2 linked regions of the Drosophila melanogaster genome follow. The gene in region 1 interacts genetically with each later gene. Each region holds a gene or a part of one and is shown in the gene's direction. Other genes may lie near its edges. The genes, in order: p115 and Myt1.

Region 1 (10,080 bases):
GCAAATCTGGAGTAAACACACCAGTAACGCTGAGTCTCCTTTGCCCATAGCCTTCATTGAAGCTGTACTGTTCCGTAAACATGGTGCTCGATAGCTCTGGATGAACTCCATCTTCCTCTTCGTCCTCGAAAAGCCTGGCACCCGAAGGCAGTGTGTAGAAATCCTCTCCAGAATCAACTAGAATTGGGAACTTGCCATCCAACTCGCTAATATTACGCACCACCAGAGGATGCCGAATGATAACCTCGATGCCAGGACGCTGTTCATGATCCACTGCCAGCATGAAGGCGATGATCTCCTGCAGATCAGTACTATAGATTGCCGGAATCCGACTGAACTCACCCTGGGCGATCTTCTCGGACAACTGGTCAAAGGCTCTGCCGCGAAACGGCGGTCTTAGGGCACACATCTCGTATACCAAACAACCAACGGCCCAGACATCGCTCTTCCGATCGTATTTCCTGCCCTTCACCAACTCCGGACTCATGTAGTGCGGAGTGCCCACAAAGGAGGCGGCAAAGCTCTGATCTCGTCGCAGCATTCTGGCCAGACCGAAATCTCCCAGTTTGGCATTCCCGGCCGCATCCAGGAAAATATTTGCTGGCTTGATATCGCGATGCAAGATGGTTCCGTTGGGGATTTTGTTGTGGCACACCTGAAGCGCCCGGCAAAGTTGGAAGAGCACCCGCCAGATGTAGGGCTCCTCAAACCGCTGCCTCTGGGATCTCGCTCGCTGGACAATCTGGGCGAGATCGCCGCCGGCACAGCACTCCATAACAATGTACACCGACTTGGCCTCTCGGTTCACCAGATGATGGTAGTATTGCACAATGTTAGGATGCTGGAGCTGCCGCAGAACACTGATTTCCGAAACCAAAGCGTCGCACTTGGCCTCGTCCAGTTCATCGTAGTTCATTCCCTTCCAGGCGAACAATTCACCGGTGCTTTTGTCGCGCACCTTGTAGCAGGTGCCGAAGGATCCATTCCCCATCACGGCCAAAACCTCGTAATCCTGCAGGGTCTTTTGCGAAAAGTCCATGCCGGCAGATTCCTCTCCGCTCATTTTGCCTTAAGTCTTTTTTTTACTCTTTGGGTATTTTGGGTATTCCGCCGCCGATTACAAATGATCCGCTTGCTACAAAACCCAAACACGATTTGAGACTGGTTTTTGGGATGCAGGATTTCTGGAATTCTCATTGCTACCTGCAAGAACGGGAGAGAGAGCAACAACAAGTGCGCGAGAGAGAGGTTTAAGTAGTGCCGCTACCCCGCTAAATAGGGCGGAAGAATGAATATTCTAAAAACAAGCTAGATTTGTAATTTTTACAAAATACATTTTGCAAATATGCAATCTAATGATATAATTACATACATAAACAAATAGCTATTTCATCATTAAATTAAGAAATTGTAATATGGATTAAAATACAAAACTATTTAAAAACCAATATACAAGACAACTACCGATTAAAATTGATAGCAGTCATTTCAACCTGACCTTCATATAAATAACCTCTCCATAAAACCCTTTCGCACCTGCATGCTAATGCCCAATTTGGCTATTTTCCCGCCGAGAGACACCAGCACTGTTATGTTATTGTTGCACGTCTGGATCTCTCGTTTCCTTCCAGGAACAAAGATCGTGCTATTACCCTCTCGCTCCCAACCACAGTTCAACGGTATCCACTTGCAAATCTCTGGCATCTCACCCTCTCGCTCACGCTCTCCCCCGCTGTGAGAGAGAGAAAGCCCTTGAAAGGCGAAAATCTGGAAAATCCGTTCCATTTGATCCCACTGCGCCTGTGTACAAACTACTGACCATTGGAAACAATGGTCTAGAGAGGGGCAGCACGCCCAAGAACACAATTCCAGCGATTCATCACGCTCAATTTTGGAACTCGAGCCCAAAACCGATCTTAAACCGGAATCCAAAACCGAGTACAAACCCCTAGCCCTGAGCCATAAAAATAAATTAGTTTTGTTCCATTGGCATTTCAATTTGCTGCCTTGTTTGTTAAAGTGGAAATGTCCTTATCGGATTTCATATTTCATATTTGAAGTGAGCGATTATCCATTCTGTCTAACGGTTTTTACTGGAAGCAGTTACATAGTACATATAGGCATGGTCGTGCAAATGAAAGTTTTTAGGGGGCTCATGCTTATAAAAGTTTTTTTTTTCTATTAATTCTTAAAAATCTCGATTCACATGTATTAGATAATTCAATGCCATTTAACGAAACTCATTTAAAAAGACTACTCTCGGTTACCACATTTCAAGTGATTTATGTGACATGCTCAAGAAGTTCTACAATAAATAATAAGAGTTTTGGTAGAATACACCAATGCTCTTCTAAAATATCCAGCCTACGCCCCTGATCCGAACTAAGCAGAACTCGCATATCGTGCAGCGATGCCCAGGTAAAATCCTTCGAAAAACGAGTTATCTCCTTGGATTTTTCATTGGTTTTCGGCTTATCGTTAGACGTGTGTTGAGGTTTTTATGTTTTTCCTGAGTAAAACAAACAATGGTACGCAATCCTTCACAAATAAATCACGTTCCCGACCGCAAATCTCGTCCGCTGGCCATGCAGGTAAACTAGACGACAGGCGTATTTCACATTTCTCCGGTTTATTGAATAACAGTGAATTGGGGGAAAAAAAATAATATTTTGGGATGGCGATGTTGGGCAGGCCTACCAGGATGGCGCCTTACCCTCGCTGCCGGCGGGACGGCCGTATAGGGCACTCTTGTCCCGGAACATGGTCATACGTTCCGTTTCCTTCTTGTCCAGGAAGTGGCCAATGGCAAATCCCAGCAGGGGCAACGCGCCCCACAGTGCTCGCTTATCCAGTCCCAAGACCATGGTGTATATTTGTGTATCCTCTTAGCGCTGATCCTTCAGCTGGGCTCGGTGTGCCAACTGGAGCTGCTGGCGTTTCCACTGGCGGGTGTGCGACCAATCTGCGTAAATCGATCCGACTGCAACAGTGGGAAAGAATATCACTGCGCCGTACTTTCGAGCCAATTGAACCACAATCCCACTGCCCATAGGTCTGCAAGACAAGCACAGGAGATGGCGAGATTTACATATGATTTACACAAATTGATGTGGGGATTGTTATGTTATGGGTTGACATTTTGCCGCATTACGTAATAAAAACGAGTGATTTCTCCCAGCGTCGTGATAACTGTGTTGATATTTTTGAGAACTTCTTACGCCGCGTGTGTGGAACGCTTTATATTGTATTTTTTGGGATTCTCTCGTTTAGTTTTAAACACAAATTTGCTAAATTAGTTTTGTTTTCAACTTACTTATAGCATCGATAGCACCAGGGCTGTCGAGTCGTTTTTAGTTTAATAAAATTTTGGCAGTAAGACTATCGCCGACAGGGATGCCACTCAGCTTAAGTCCCGACGTCAGCTAGAAAGTAGCAATATTTTATGTAATTCAAAAAAAAGTTTTAGATTATCAAAAAAGTGTAAATATAGGTAATTACACAAACATGGTCAAATATGGTAAATTGTAATTCTAAAAATATATTTAATATATTTAAAGACAAGCCGCTTATCGATAAGTGGGCGTCTATCGGACTTTAGCCATCGCTAAGCCGCCCGTCAATTGTTTTCATGAATTGACGTGTCTTGTTGAATGCGAAAAAACCCAGAATAGACCGTAAACACACACTCGCATGGAGTTCCTGAAGAGTGGCATCAAAACGGTGCTGGGCAGCACGGAGCCGGGTCAGCAGCCGAGTGCCGCCGAGACGGTGGAGAAGCTGGTGGACCGTGTCTACTCCTCAACGCTCCTGGAGGATCGACGGGATGCCTGCCGAGCGCTAAAAGCCCTGTCCCGCAAGTACCGCATCGAGGTGGGCGCACAGGGCATGCCTCCGCTGGTCCAGGTGCTCCAGAACGACGGACAGGATGCAGAGATCATCAGCTATGCGCTGGACACACTGTGCAACGTGGTTACTAGCGAGGAGTTCGACGAGGAGGCTGATAATCCCACCGTTTCGGTGAATGTGGGCGAGCAGTTCACGGAGATGTTCATCAAGACACCGGAGCATGTAACCCTGGTAATGGGCTATCTGGACGAATACGATTTTCGAGTGCGTCGCGCTGCCATCCAACTGATTACGTCCCTCATTTCGAACAAGACGCGGGAGCTGCAGGATTTGATTCTGGTCAGTCCGATGGGCGTTTCCAAGCTGATGGATCTGCTGACGGACAGCCGCGAAGTGATTCGCAACGATGTCCTTCTGCTGCTTATCGAACTGACCAAGGGCAACTCAAACATCCAAAAGATTGTGGCCTTTGAGAATGCCTTTGACCGCCTTTTTGAAATTGTCCGTGAGGAGGGCTGTTCGGATGGCGGAATTGTTGTGGAGGATTGCCTAATTCTGCTATTGAATCTTCTCAAGAACAACTCCAGTAATCAGCAGTTCTTTAAGGAGGGCAGCTATATCCAGCGATTGTCGCCAATGTTTGAGCTCTCACAGGATGCGGAAGAGGTTGGCTGGTCGCCACAGAAGGTCTCAAACTTCCATTGTCTGCTGCAGGTGGTGCGGGCACTGGTCACGCCCAGTAATCAACAGCAGGTGGTGGCCGCCTGCCAGCGGGTCATGCAAAAGTCTCGACTGCTCCATGCTCTTTGCGAGATTCTGATGAGCAGTGGTGTCCCTGCGGATATACTCACGGAAACCATCAATGCAGTGGCCGAAGTGGTGCGCGGCGATCGGGACAACCAGGATGAATTGGGAAGAGTTATGGCTCCGAGCAGTCCACCCAGACCTGCCATCGTGGTCCTTCTTATGTCCATGATCAATGAGAAACAACTGCTGGCACTGCGTTGCGCCGTACTCTACTGTTTCGAGTGCTTTCTTTATCGCAATGCCGATGGCCAGCGGGCGGTTGTACAGACCCTGCTGCCCTCCAGTGCGTCCGATGTGAGTGCCCTTTCGACGGGACAACTCCTTTGCACCGGACTCTTCTCCACAGATGCGCTTGCCAACTGGTTCTCCGCTGTGGCCCTAATGCACTCACTCGTAGAGAATGTCGCCCTAAAGGAGGAACTACTGCGCGTACTGCTGGCCACTCCTGGTGGCCAAAAGCCTATCACGCTACTCGAGCAGTGCACTAATCTCATGCAGCAGGAACGCTACCGTTTGCAAAGCAAGGTGGGTCTGCTAATGCTACTCAGCCTGTGGCTGGCGCATTGTCCAGGTGCGGTGAAGGCTTTGCTGGAAACGCAGGGCACCATGGCCTACCTGACCGCTCAACTTTGCTCCAACGAGCACGATGAACGAGAGTTCCTTGTCCAGGGCATGTGCGCATTCCTAATGGGCCTGTGCATCCAGTTCAATGACAACTCGCTGCCGGGGCAGAAGCGCGAGGACATCAGTCAGCTGATCATCAAGCGAATTGGCCAGGAGAGCTTCTGTAGCAAACTAGCAGAAGTGTCGCGACATGAGGCCTACAGTCGGGCATGCAAGCAGGCCCAGATCCGTGCCAAATCCGCTGGGGAACTACTGCTTGACTTCGAGTATTGCAAGCTGTACAAGGGACTGGAGGCGTTGATTGCCAAGCTGGTTAGCGGATTTGATGTAGATGGCATTGAACTGACCGAACTCACGTTGAGCTCGGAAGCTTCTGCATTGGTTTCCCAGTACAAGGGGATTATCCGCGGCATGGATGCCCAGATCCAAGCACTGCAGCAATCCTCCAAAGAACTGGAACAGGAGAATGCCGAGCTGAAGGAGAAACTTGGTGAGGAGCAGTCGCTCAAGGCGCAGCTCTTGGACCAGAACACGCTGCTTAAGGCACAGCTGGGAGCCTCGACCGGTCAGGTGCAGTCCGCCCAAGGTGCGGAAGCCACGCCGCCCAACGAGGAGGAGCTAAATGCCGCTCGCTACCAGGCCAACATGTACTTTGCCGAAAACATTCGTCTAACTAAGGAGCTGGAGACACTACGTCAGCAGTTATCAGCCGAAAAACAGAGTGCAGATGCGGCGCAAGATTCCCTGGCGGCGATGCAAAAGGATCAAGAAGATTTGCTCGAACTGCTGGCCGATCAGGAGGCAAAGCTAACGCGATACGAAGAAGCGGGCTCGACTAATACCCTTCCGACTTCCAATGTAGCTCCAAGCGTGCCGGCAGCTGGCGGAGGAAGCCCCATCCCAAGTGGCACCGCCAGCAGGTAGAAATCGTAACGCGGATGAGTTGCTAGCCACGTACATGTTACAACTGGAAATTGCTCGACTGCCCTAAAAACGTTAAAATATCTTATATACACACATTCTACTTGTTTTACATTTATTTAACTTACGTATAGAATATATGTCTAGATCAGAATTTAAACGAATCCATTATTGTTTTGGCGGGAACTGCAGCAAATCGCAAGAGATAGCTACATATATCGGCTCACGATTTCCTGTTTCCATCTCTTTCCGATTCCGATTTGCCCATATAATGGCTTATGTTGGAATTCGAAGATAGTGTTTGTTCTGCGTTTATTTGTTTAACAATATTAATATACCTATGATTGGGTAAATCGTAATGTTGTAAAAAAAAAACCATTTAAACAGTTTTTCGACCTTCCTTTCTCAGAAAATAATAAATGGCCTTACTTTAATTGAACTATTTGTCGGAACTGTTGCATTTACCTGGGGGAAAAATAGATTGAAATAATTAATTAAAAATCAAAAATATTTTTCAGCGTTTCCGCTGGCACCCGATACATTAGAATAGATATCCTAAAGCTTAATTAGCTCAATCGCTCAATATACATAATTGAACACAACACACCACATTCTATACCATTTATCGCGTTTATTTAACAAAAATGGTTATTGTGATCAACATTCAGTTTCTGCTTAAACGAAGAATGTGGGTTCAGAGTCTGCGGTATTTACTTCTTGCCGCTGAAGACAGAGCTTTTCGGCTTGCGAATGGTGACATAACGGCCGCGGTTGGCCTTGGACTCCTTCTTGCGCTTGACCAACAGTTTGACGTATTCGGCGATAGCCTCCTTGGTTGCATTCTGGCGCTTCTTCTGGTGCCTGCGCTGCAGCTTAACAGGGATGACCTCATCATCTTCCTCGCACAAATAGTAGATCTTGCTGATGTTGCTGGAACGCACGGGTCCCAGGCGACATGGGGAGGGATTCTTCTTGAGAACGACCAAAGTCAGCGCGGATACGTTGGCTTCCACGGTGTATTTACGCACAGTCTTGCACTTGCGCACTTTATTGCAGCGTGGATGGAAGCACGAGTGTATCTTCTTCAGGAGACGCAAACGGCCTGTTGGAAAAGATGATTGTTTTTTTAAGTAGTTTCTTGAGAGGAGTCCATGGATGGATGTGTTTGCAAATACTTAAGGAAATTTATTATACCAATTGGATGCTCAACTTTGGAGCGTACTCCAATCACATATAGTTAATTATTAGCTTTTAGCAACTGGAAATATTCGCTTTGTATTGCTCAGAATGGAAGAACTCACCACGAATATGCACATAAGAATACACAGACGATTTCATATTTAAGGTATGTTCTCTAGATATATTATCACAAGACTGATCCAGGTTGCTTGGCTAATGACAGAAGAAGACAAGCAACCTCATGACAGAAGATACCCAGGTTGCTTAGCTTATTACAGATGCTTAAAAGGGTTTCCATACGGAACATAGAAATCTACACATGGGACCATTATTGCTTTAGCGGGGACTGCAGCAAATCGCAATAGATAGCTACATATATCCGCTCACGATTTCCTGTTTCCATCTCTTTCCGATTCCGATTTGCCCATATAATGGCTTATGTTGGAATTCCAAGATACTGTTTGTTTGTTTTCCATGGTTTCCTTACCAAAAAATGCCGCTGGCTAGCTCATAACCAAAATCACATGCAATATGAAAACATTTACACCCGATACTTTAGTATATATATCCTAAAGCTTACACTCGCTCAATCGATCAATATAATTGAACACAACACACCACATTCTATACCATTTATCGCGTTTATTTAACAAAAATGGTTATTGTGATCAACATTCAGTTTCTGCTTAAACGAAGAATGTGGGTTCAGAGTCTGCGGTATTTACTTCTTGCCGCTGAAGACAGAGCTTTTCGGCTTGCGAATGGTGACATAACGGCCGCGGTTGGCCTTGGACTCCTTCTTGCGCTTGACCAACAGTTTGACGTATTCGGCGATAGCCTCCTTGGTTGCATTCTGGCGCTTCTTCTGGTGCCTGCGCTGCAGCTTAACAGGGATAACCTCATCATCTTCCTCGCACAAATAGTAGATCTTGCTGATGTTGCTGGAACGCACGGGTCCCAGGCGACATGGGGAGGGATTCTTCTTGAGAACGACCAAAGTCAGCGCGGATACGTTGGCTTCCACGGTGTATTTACGCACAGTCTTGCACTTGCGCACTTTATTGCAGCGTGGATGGAAGCACGAGTGTATCTTCTTCAGGAGACGCAAACGGCCTGTTGGAAAAGATGATTGTTTTTTTAAGTAGTTTCTTGAGAGGAGTCCATGGATGGATGTGTTTGCAAATACTTAAGGAAATTTATTATACCAATTGGATGCTCAACTTTGGAGCGTACTCCAATCACATATAGTTAATTATTAGCTTTTAGCAACTGGAAATATTCGCTTTGTATTGCTCAGAATGGAAGAACTCACCACGAATATGCACATAAGAATACACAGACGATTTCATATTTAAGGTATGTTCTCTAGATATATTATCACAAGACTGATCCAGGTTGCTTGGCTAATGACAGAAGAAGACAAGCAACCTCATGACAGAAGATACCCAGGTTGCTTGGCTTATTACAGATGCTTAAAAGGGTTTCCATACGGAACATAGAAATCTACACATGGGACCATTATTGTTTTGGCGGGGACTGCAGCAAATCGCAAGAGATAGCTACATATATCCGCTCACGATTTCCTGTTTCCATCTCTTTCCGATTCCGATTTGGCCATATAATGGCTTATGTTGGAATTCCAAGATAGTGTTTGTTTTCCATGGTTTCCTTACCAAAAAATGCCGCTGGCTAGCTCATAACCAAAATCACATGCAATATGAAAACATTTACACCCGATACTTTAGTATATATATCCTAAAGCTTACACTCGCTCAATCGATCAATATAATTGAACACAACACACCACATTCTATACCATTTATCGCGTTTATTTAACATAAATGGTTACAAAGTTTTATTTCTCCTCTCGTGGATCATTTGGTTGTGATCAACGTTCAGTTTCTGCTTAAACGAAGAATGTGGGTTCCGTGTCGCGGTGTTTACTTCTTGTCGCTGGAGACAGAGCTCTTGGACTCGCGAATGGAGGCAGAACGGCGGCGCTTGGCCTCCTCGCGCTTGGCCTTGGACTCCTTCTTGCGCTGCACCAACAGCTTGGCGTAGTCGGCGGAAGCCTCCTTGGAAGCGATCTGGCGCTTCTTCTTCAGCGCAATGCGACGGTGCTTGCGCTGCAGCACAACGGGGGTGATCAGGCGCTGAATTTTGGGGGCCTTGGAGGTGGCCTTCTTGTTGTCCTTGGCGGGCAAAGGGCGACGCACAACGAAGCGACGCACATCATCTTCCTTGCTCAAGTTGTAGAGCTTGCGGATCTTGCTAGCACGCTTGGGTCCCAGGCGACGTGGGATGGTGGTGTCGGTGAGACCGGGAATGTCCTTCTCACCCTTCTTCAAGACGACCAGAGCCAGCACAGACATGTTGGCGTCCACGATGCATCCACGCACAGACTTGCGCTTACGCTCGCCAGTGCGGCGTGGACGGTAGCAGGAGTGTCCCTTCTTCAGGAGCAGACGCACACGGCCTGTTGGAAAAGATGATTGCTTTTTGTAGTAGTTTCTTGAGAGCAGTCCATGGATATGAGCAGTGATTGGAAAGTTATTATCTGGTTAGCCATTAGCCATTCGGGTGTAAGGAAATGTGTTTGCAAATACTTAAGGAAATTTATCCTACTAATTGTTTGCTCATCTTTGGAACGTACTCCAATCACATATAGTAAATTACTAGCTGCTAGCAACGTTGCAACTAAAT
Region 2 (9,369 bases), on another chromosome or scaffold:
CATCAACTGGCAATCGATGGGTGGTCTGCCGCTGAAGTTACCCACAAAGGCCATCACCAACGAGTCTATTCCATTTAGATCCCTTGGATACTGGCTCCGATAGTGCCATCCTTGTGCCTCGAAAACCTGACAATCACCGGCGACCAGAAAGTTGTAGGGCAGCTCCCCCACATGCGACCTCTAAGGAGATGAATGAATTTAGCTTTGATTACAATGTACTACACATACTTATGTCCGATTAACTCACTTCCAGCTTATGCAATACATCCGGGCAATCATCGTGGCATTCATTGCTTCCAGTGTGGGTAAAAATCACTGTGCCGACACCGATCGGATCGAAAAGAGTTCCCCGACCCTGAAGTTCCATATCCGACCATATGCCATGACCCACGATACTGAGTCGATAGCCAAAGTCCGGCGTTTGGGCTGCAAGCAGTGCAAAGTGATTCAGTCATTAAGTGGCTTTGTCCACCTATAAAGGCGAATTTAGAAAAATTTAACAATGAGTCATATGCATGCATACGAAAAATAAAACGAATCTTAAGTTAAACAAAAAAAAAAAATGAGGGATGGCTTTAAAATGTTTTACTATACAAATTTAATGCCAGATACATTATATTATGAGTATAGATCGATTTTTCTTTGAATACTTTCGCCTGCCCATCAAAACGCACATGAGCAGCTTATCATAACTCACAGCTAATTGAGATTTATTTATTATGCATATATGTAACAATAACGATTTGAGCACGTACTCGTGCACGTCCACCATCAGCGGGCAAACTCACTTTGTCTCCAGAGCAAATAGGCGGCCAGTGCCAAGGCGGATGCACACATGACCAGCAGTCCCACCGAGCGCCAATTGAAGCAGTCTTCGTGGAGCGTCGGGTTCCTTCGGCAATTCGAAGGCGTCGTGGAGGAGGCTGAGACTGAGGCTGTGAGGGATGAGGACGTCTTGATGGACCGCTGAGCAGCTGCCAGCAAGGGAGTGGATTCGCTTGCAACGCCTTCCTTGTCCACTCGAATGTGTATATCTTGGCTGGAACCCAGGCTGCCGTACGACGACTGAGAGACGGCGGCCGGCGAGGGACTACGACGTGCTATCGTAGCGAAATATAGAGCAAACAACAAATTATGGAGTTTAGCCAAGATAAAGGCGACCAGATGATTAGTCAAGTGGCACAGTTTGTCCAGGCCACTCTGATCTTGGTGGGCATAGTATTTGCTGATGGCACGCAGACTGTAGGCGCTCACAAAGATCGGCATCTTGCCACTAACTGAGCTGGGATATCCAGCCGAGATGCACGCATTCGTATATCTCACCCATTTAACTATATCTTATCAAGACAAGGGCTTATCTATCGTCGGACTTACCCACTCGCACGGCTATGTGGCTGGAGTCCATGGCTAGACCGCTCTGGCTGCAGCCTCGGCATCAAGGTGGTGCTGTGAGTGGGTCAGCTCCTTACCGGATCGCACTGGAACACACCACTCGATCGATCGGAGTCGCCGCTGTCAACCACTGCCAGCAGAATGCACAAAACGACTGAGACGAGAACAAGGGAGAGAACCAGCCCGCATGAAGCACAACATTTCCATTAAATCATCAGCTACGAATTTCGAAGGGGTCTCTTATCGCACTCACTCTTAGACTCTCTTAGCTATGGAGTAACTTTAAAGCCGGGAGTAACATTCGCATCGCGTTTACTTGACTTTCGTTTGCTGATATCTTCAACTAGACTCTAATAACAATCATAAATGGGTTTCGCTTTATACACAGAGGTTGGCTTTGCTTAATTTACAGTGCAGAGGCTGCTCCTCCCTTAAGACTAACTTGGGCTTGGGGACCGTAATAAGTTATGAGCATGCTAGCCAGTGCAAGTGGCAGCCACGGGAACACTGGACATGGACACTGGTTTATGGGAACATTTAAAAGTTTCACGAAAGACAATACATTGTGTTAAAATCGTTCGAAAATCTAAAAGAAATGCATTCGCCTATGTGCCTAAACTTAACTTATTAGGTATTACGCGTCCGCGAGACAGGGGACAGGCCTAATCCAGCACCTGGACATTTCAGAGCTCCTGCAAATCCCTTACTTGTAGGACCTCCAAATCTGCCAGGCGCACAGGGCAGCCGAGAGCAAGGATACGCTACGGTGCAAGTATTTGGTTTTTGAGTTGGGCGAGTAGCCCAAAATCACAGGCGAGGAGACATCTGTCAGTGGCAGTTTCTCCAACACGGTGTCATTATTTTCCACCTGAAAAACACAACCAAAGTGAGCTTCTCAATCTTGGATATCTAGAACTTTTCCTTTCATACCTGATATTGACAACATGGATCGTAGTTCCAGGAAACCGTGTACAGTCCTGTGCAAAAAATCGAGAGTGCACAAGCGGGAGCTGCAATGATGGGGCGATCCCGCCACAGCAAGCTGGCCACCAGGGAAACCACTCCAGTGGCCACCGCCGTCTTGTGCAGGCAATTGCCCACCCAAATCCAACGACCTGTGGAGATATGAAATTAATACTGTGCTTTAAAAGGAAGCACTTCCAAGTGCTTACCAGTTTCGTCGCCCAGCCGAGGCGGCTCTATAACGATGAAGTCCAACTTGGCTTCCAGCGCCTTGTCCAGCTCAGCCTCGAATCTTTCATGGGCATTGGAGCTGTCGTAGACCTCGCGGATGACATGGAAAGTGGGCACCTTACTCGTGCTGCACAATTAGAACAACAATACACGAATCAATCATGGTTATCTTGATGTGGAACTCAAGGTTAAGGTCAAGATCAAGCGCTCAGAACAACCGAAGCAGAGAAGCCATTGTGCAGACGAGATAAATGAAGAAGCCGCCTAGTAAATTGCATAACCAGGGCAGGTGCACTTGGGAACTGGGATTTGGCTGCACCCAGGTGGAATGTGTTGCGTAATCCCACTGCATTCACGTAACTAGGCGCCGTATTTACCTTTCTATATTTCTGCTAACCATTTTGCTAATAAATTTGTTGTTTTCTATGTTGTTCATAAACTCAGTGCGGCCGCAGCTGGACCGTTAAAATATACCAGGTACCTAAGGGCATAATACTGCAAATAGCAATCTTCCAAAAAAATACCGCAGTTGGGCGGCACTTTTGAATTATATCGTATTCGCAAATACCATTCTCCTTTAAAGAGCGGCCTATATATAAAGGCTTAATTCCACTATTTAGCAATTTATTTGCTTATTTACCTATATTCATAAAGACAATTAGATTAGATTAAAGTTTTTAAAAATATTTCAGTATTTCTATTGTTCTTCCAACTACTCAACTCTCCCATCTCTATTTACGATAATTGAGGCATTTAAGAGGCAAATCATGTAAAATCTGTATACGATTATAGGAGCTTAACTTAATTGAAATCAATAATTATACTCCCAATAAAGATCAAAAATATAAGATACATGTGTTAAATGAATTAGCCGGCTCTTATTGTCCCAAGCGAAGAAGCCAGGATTTCGCCGGCTGTCCGATATGGTCACACTCGCCCACTCATAAGAAAAGACACCCAAAATTGAAAATGGAAAAGCATCATCGCCTGCCCCTCCCGGAATTGCACGACGACAAACACAGACACAAACAGTGCAATGGGGAGAACAGCAATCGCTTCCGGCCGCCCAAGTACAAGACGCGTGGCTACGTCGCCGTGGACAACAACAATCTGAACCGAAGCCAATCGCTGGGCTCCTGTAGCACCAACAGTTCCCAGATCGCGCACGCGATCTCCTTCCGGGACGCCGGATGTTCGGATTCCAGTACGCTGCCCTCGTCACCAGTCCAGGCCGAGCTGAGCACCCTCTCCCTGTCACACTTCGAGCAGTGCTTCGAAAGGCTGGCCAAACTGGGCGAAGGATCCTTCGGCGAGGTATTCCAGGTGCGCGATCGCTCCGACGGCCAGTTATATGCCGTCAAGATCTCCAAGCAACTGTTCCGCGGCGAACAGTACCGCGCAGAGCGGCTGGAAGAGGTGCGGCGCTACGAGGAGTTCTCCGGCCATGAGAACTGCATCCGGTTCATCCGCGCCTGGGAGCAGTACGACCGACTGTACATGCAAATGGAGCTGTGCCGCGAAAGTCTGGAGCAGTACTTGCTGCGCTGCCAAAGGATACCGGAGGAGCGCATCTGGCACATCCTGCTGGATCTGCTGCGGGGTCTCAAGTCGCTGCACGACCGGAATCTCATCCATCTGGACATTAAACTGGACAACGTTCTGATCGGCGAGGACGACGAGACGTGCAAGCTGGCAGACTTTGGACTGGTCATCGATGTGGACAGGGCCAACAGCCATCACGCCACGGAGGGAGATTCGAGGTATATGGCTCCAGAGATCCTGCAGGGTCACTTCTCCAAGGCTGCGGACATCTTCAGTCTGGGCATTGCCATGCTAGAGCTGGCATGCTACATGGATCTTCCTTCCAACGGCCCACTGTGGCACGAACTGAGGCACGGCATTCTGCCCGAGGAGTTCATAAACAGTGAGTTGCGAACTAGCTGCCTACTTAAATGGCAGGTTGCTAAAGCCTTTCTCTTCGCACAGAAATATCACTGGAGCTGCAGTCGGTAATTAAGTCCATGATGAAGCCCGATCCTGCGCAGAGGCCGACGGCCGAGCAGCTACTCTCACATCCCAAGCTGCAGTACCTGCAAAAGAAGCGCAAGTCGCTGATGAACTTCAGCATGCTGGTAAGCATTCCCAAGCACATCTTTGAGAATCAATCTTAACCCTTGACAACTTGCAGTCGCGTAGTTTTAGGCGATCTCGCCGCGCCGTTTGGGGAAGAATGTGCAATTGGAAAACAGCCGCCTTTCGTTACCTTCTATACTTCCTGGAGGTCCTGCATCTATGCAAGCCCATAACGGCCTCACAGCCCAATATTAACATAGTGCCCTCCTCGCCTTCGTCAAAGGGAGTGCCTCTGGTGCCTCAGGTGGAGTTCCAGCTGGTAGGATCCACACCCATTGCCAATCGTGACTGCTATGCCTCCGACTTCCTTTCCGGCGAGGACCCGCTGGACCTCTCCAATCAGGGTAGCCCCAACGTAATAAATTCCACGCCATTGAACACAAACCAAGGCAAATCCCGTCTGGATTTGCTAAAGAATAAGTAAGTACCCTTAATCGATTAGCTCATGGACTAGCGCACATAACCCATCCGCTTTCAGTGTTGATTCAATGGGCAGGTACGTTCATGTACACGATTTCGAGAGTCCGTGTTCCGCCCTATCTTCCGCCAAGGTCCTGGACACCTCATCGTTCCGACGCAAAAAGCTCTTCGTCCTGGAATATGACGACGAGTGAGTGAGTACGGTGCCAGCGAGCAACGTAAACCGAATGAATTTATGATAAACCCAATATATATCAGTTACGAAACGAATACCAGATACATATGGCAACAGAATATATCGTTAATTGTATTTTGATTAGTTCTAGACCGTAGTGTTGTACGAAGTTCCCTAGATATAGTCTTACGATTGTGTAATGTTAATGCTTCTTTAGAAGAACTTGTTGAACTTGAACATATAATCATGTGATATATATACGAAAAGCGATTTGAAAAGTTTAAAAATAAAAAACTTATTGAAATTGAAACCTGCACTGAATGCCATCTATGACATATGATAACAACAAATTAAAGGTAAAAACCAAGAAACGTATAACTATAAAAATTTTTTTTAAAACATTTTTGAATTCTAACGTACCTTTCGTTTCGGGGAAAAGTATTTTGCCCATCTGGTAACACTGGCCGCTCGCACATGTTGAAAACGTAAACAAAAACGAGTAGCACAATTTTTGAAAATGACCAGGAAAAAGGCTCCTAAGAAAAAAACAGAGGTTGTATTCGACAACAAGAAACGCATGTAAGTAAGGAGACACAGAATCCCCGGAGGATACTAATGCCCACATCCCAATCCCGCAGAGAGTTTCTCAGTGGCTTCCGGAAAAGAAAGAATGAGCGACGATCGCGTGCAAAGGCGGATCTGGAAAGAAACCTTAAGAACGAGCGCAAGCGCATACGGCAGGAGGTAAAGGATGGCTTTAACCACCTGAAGAAATCCTTCGAACCGCTGCGCGAGCTCACCGAGGAGGACAAGGCCGAGGAGGCGGAGCAGCAGCAGGAGGAGACCTACGAAGATGATGAAGTGCAGGTGAAGATCGTGGAGCTGACCACCAACGATCTGGCCGCCAAGCGCAATATGTTGGGTGCCAACACGGCAGAGGAAAGCGAACCGGAGGAGCAGGCTGACCAGAGCGAGGAGGACGAAGCCGACCAGGCCAATAGGATACCCGGCATGGATTTCGATCCCAACGCCCGCAAACGTAAACCCAAGCCGGAGGACGAAGAGGAGCCGAAGGCCACAAAGTCCAACAACTCCACGCTGCCGGACATCAAGAGCAAAAAGGATCTCGACCGCCTGATGAAGACCAAAACGCTGAAGAAAATGCACCAGAGCAAACTGTTCAAGCAGAAGGAGCGCCTGGACAAGAAGAACAACCAGAAGAAGGCCAAGCGGGACCGCAACAACACCATCAAGAGCGTTCCCAAGCATCAGCGCAAGCAGCTCAAGTACGGAAAGGCCAACCAGACCAAATACCGAAAGGGTCGGATGGTCAACAAAAAGGAGCTGCGGCGCAAACGGAATGCCGACTAAATTTAGCTTTTAGCATAGTTTGTTTTACGGTTTATTTACTATTACTCTAGTTAATCAAATAAACTGTATAATTCCTGGCTTGTACAATAATTTTGCTAACACGCCGATGCGTTCGATCTTTTTTTTTACCGCTCTCCGTCGTATTCATCATGGTACATATTACATCCAACATACTTTATTTTTTTTGGGTTATTAACATTGGCAATATCGCTGCTCGCCGCCGTTCGGTTATGCTCTATAAATAAAAGGGGGGCGCCGCTAAAATTATAATAAAATTTTCATGGGTCCTAAATCTAGTCTCGAAATCTATGTACAAAGTTTGCTTGCATGCTGGTTAGGCATAGGTTCTTAACGTATTATTGGGTTGCTTTATTTCCATTCTGCGCAGTTGTGCAGCCTGTTTAGTGTTTGCCTTTACGGGGTTAACATTTTTTAAAAATGAAACATTAGAGCGGTAACCTTGTTGTCTGATTATTGGCGTCATTAAAGCGGTATCGCCAGCACGCGATTGATGCAAGGATACCGATTCAATGAAATAAAAACGAATTCAGCCAAACACAATCTTTCATTTCTTTTTTTTTATCGTACTTAATGATAGCCTTAGTTTCTAATGGGACTGTGTGCTTCGGTGAAGGTTGGGGATGATTTTGGGAGGCAACAATTATGTTCTAGCTTATAGCTTACAGTCCTACGCCTACTCCTATTTCTAATATGTTCATCATCAGCAGTTAAAAAACGTTTACAAAACTCATGCGAAATTGAAATCCAATAACAAATGCACACGCCGCAGTCGCATCGGCGTCATCTCTTTCTCCTGACCCTCGCCTATCCGCATCCAGTTAGGTTTGCTGCTGCTGCTGCGCCGACGGTTGTCGCCGACTGAAGCCACCGCCGGCGGACAGATGTCGTTGCAGGGCTCGCTGCTGCTGGAACTTGGCGCTGCCTGGTCCTCCGAAGCGGTTGAACTTGAACTTGTTGCGCTGCTGGAAGTTCTGGCGATAGTTCTGATTGTAGAATCGCGGAAATCCTCCACCTCCGCCGTTCTTGTTCCAGCGCTTCTGGCCCTCGTACTCCTGGAATGGATTGTACCCGGGCGTGCTGTTGCTGGCATTGTTTCCCTTAGCCGAACCGGACTTCACCTTCCGCTGACGTCCACGATCCATCTCGTTCTCTTCGTCGTCGTCGATGTCCCGCTGCCGCTGCTCACGCGCATCCACCAGTAGCTACGGAAAACAGAATATCAAGCATTAGGCTAGAGTTCGGACCTTGTGAATGGGGAGGCTTGGCTGGCTGGCTGACGCATGCGCTAGTTAATGGAGCTTATGCAGATGAGTACGGTCGCTCGCGAACAAGCACTGGGAATATGCACATTGTATTCGAAATGGGTGAGTGGCTTACGGTTCACGGTTCACTGTAACAGGTTATCAGGCAAAACGGTAACGGCACAACGGTTGAATTTATGGCGTATCAGGCGGTTGAAATGAAAGAAACAACGTGCCGGCCAGCAGTCAAATCATAAGCTTCATTGCACGGGAAAACGGATGCGGAGTCATCGGGTGAATTACCTAGGCTCCGGTGCAGTCACTCTCTCCCGCAATGACTTTTGCAACTCTCTCTACACTTTTCACGCTCGCTGAACGGAGGACGCGTTGTGGTGACCGCCCGGTTGGGAACGGATACCAGCAACGCAGCCATCACAGACTATTCGGGGTAATCGTATTATTTGTATTTGTTTTGTGTGGTATGTGCTTAGTGGGGAAAAAGAAGAAGCGTCGCCTCTGCCGCCGACGCTTCTACCTCCTACCGGCCGTCCGTGAGACGATCCGGATCGGGTGCGTCAGCGGTCGTGTCTGTTACCGCCACTGCAATTACGACCACATCTTTACTGTCACTGCCACTAGTCACTGCCGCGTCGACTGCAACCGAGCCCTCGACGATATCGCTGCCTTCCACACTGCCGTGACCAGCTATCCGTTTCGCACAAACCAACTCAAAAGTCTAAATGAATGGGGATAATGTGGAAACAAATGCAAATTACAAACAAGTTCGTTTAGTAAATCAACTCAATCGAATTGCATTTTATGCAACAGCTAAGCGAACGACATAGAAAACAAAAAAGAAGACCAAAGAGCCAGTTAAATAATAAAGAATTAGTTAAACCCGCAAAAAGAGAACCAATTTATGTACATTTTCATCGTATTAAGCCCGCAACTTGTTATTTTTGAAGCACAGACCCAAAGAAAGTGTTAACCATGCATAGATTTAGTATCTACGTTAGTGACATGGTCACAAGGGATAGATAAGCGCTTCAAGGTGAATGCCTCTCTAAACTCACCTCCTTTTCGAGCTCCGCGGGCTTGCCATTCCAACTGAGCACGGGGGAGCCGTATCCACGATACGATTGCTTCAGCAGCTCATTGATGGTGCTCCCATTCGAGGTGGCATTGCTCTGGTAGCCATTGCCCACCCTTGGCTGCTGGTGCGACTTGAGCGCACTGCCGTTGAGCAACTTTTGGCGCTTGGCGCCTGGCGTTGCGGGCGAGTCCGTGGAGGGCTTGCTACTCGAGAAGGGATTGCGATGGTTCTTGTTCGGCGTCGGAATTTTCACCGGCGATCCCTCCACCACCACGACGTCAACATCATCTTCGATGGCATCGACCTCATCGTTACGCGTAACTTTCCAG

Evidence for each region.
Region 2: of p115 (region 1) and Myt1, changing one suppresses a phenotype caused by changing the other (phenotypic suppression), as found in Drosophila melanogaster (one study listed by BioGRID).

The regions. Positions count from the first base shown.
Region 1 is NC_004354.4:7,890,437-7,900,516, forward strand, and holds p115 (p115), read left to right. Parts: upstream 1-3,594; 5' UTR 3,595-3,690; coding exon 3,691-6,201; 3' UTR 6,202-6,555; downstream 6,556-10,080. Other genes in the region: Nek2, read right to left, coding at 1-1,063; ND-MNLL (NADH dehydrogenase (ubiquinone) MNLL subunit), read right to left, coding at 2,694-2,864; CG45089 (uncharacterized protein), read right to left, coding at 2,886-3,050; RpS6 (ribosomal protein S6), read right to left, coding at 9,318-9,853. UniProt on the Drosophila melanogaster protein: Essential for maintaining the architecture of the Golgi stacks and for normal organization of the transitional endoplasmic reticulum (tER). Required for both the formation of the Golgi stacks and the maintenance of the individual cisternae.
Region 2 is NT_037436.4:5,773,728-5,783,096, reverse strand, and holds Myt1 (Myt1), read left to right. Parts: upstream 1-3,505; 5' UTR 3,506-3,555; coding exon 3,556-4,510; intron 4,511-4,572; coding exon 4,573-4,718; intron 4,719-4,774; coding exon 4,775-5,139; intron 5,140-5,197; coding exon 5,198-5,333; 3' UTR 5,334-5,621; downstream 5,622-9,369. Other genes in the region: PGRP-LD (peptidoglycan recognition protein LD), read right to left, coding at 1-180, 248-426, 789-1,266; Pmi, read right to left, coding at 1,516-1,546, 2,100-2,260, 2,323-2,507, 2,565-2,713, 2,964-2,986; vito (viriato), read left to right, coding at 5,832-5,893, 5,953-6,685; scny (scrawny), read right to left, coding at 7,525-7,908, 9,021-9,369. UniProt on the Drosophila melanogaster protein: Acts as a negative regulator of entry into mitosis (G2 to M transition) by phosphorylation of Cdk1 specifically when Cdk1 is complexed to cyclins. Mediates phosphorylation of Cdk1 predominantly on 'Thr-14'. Also involved in Golgi fragmentation.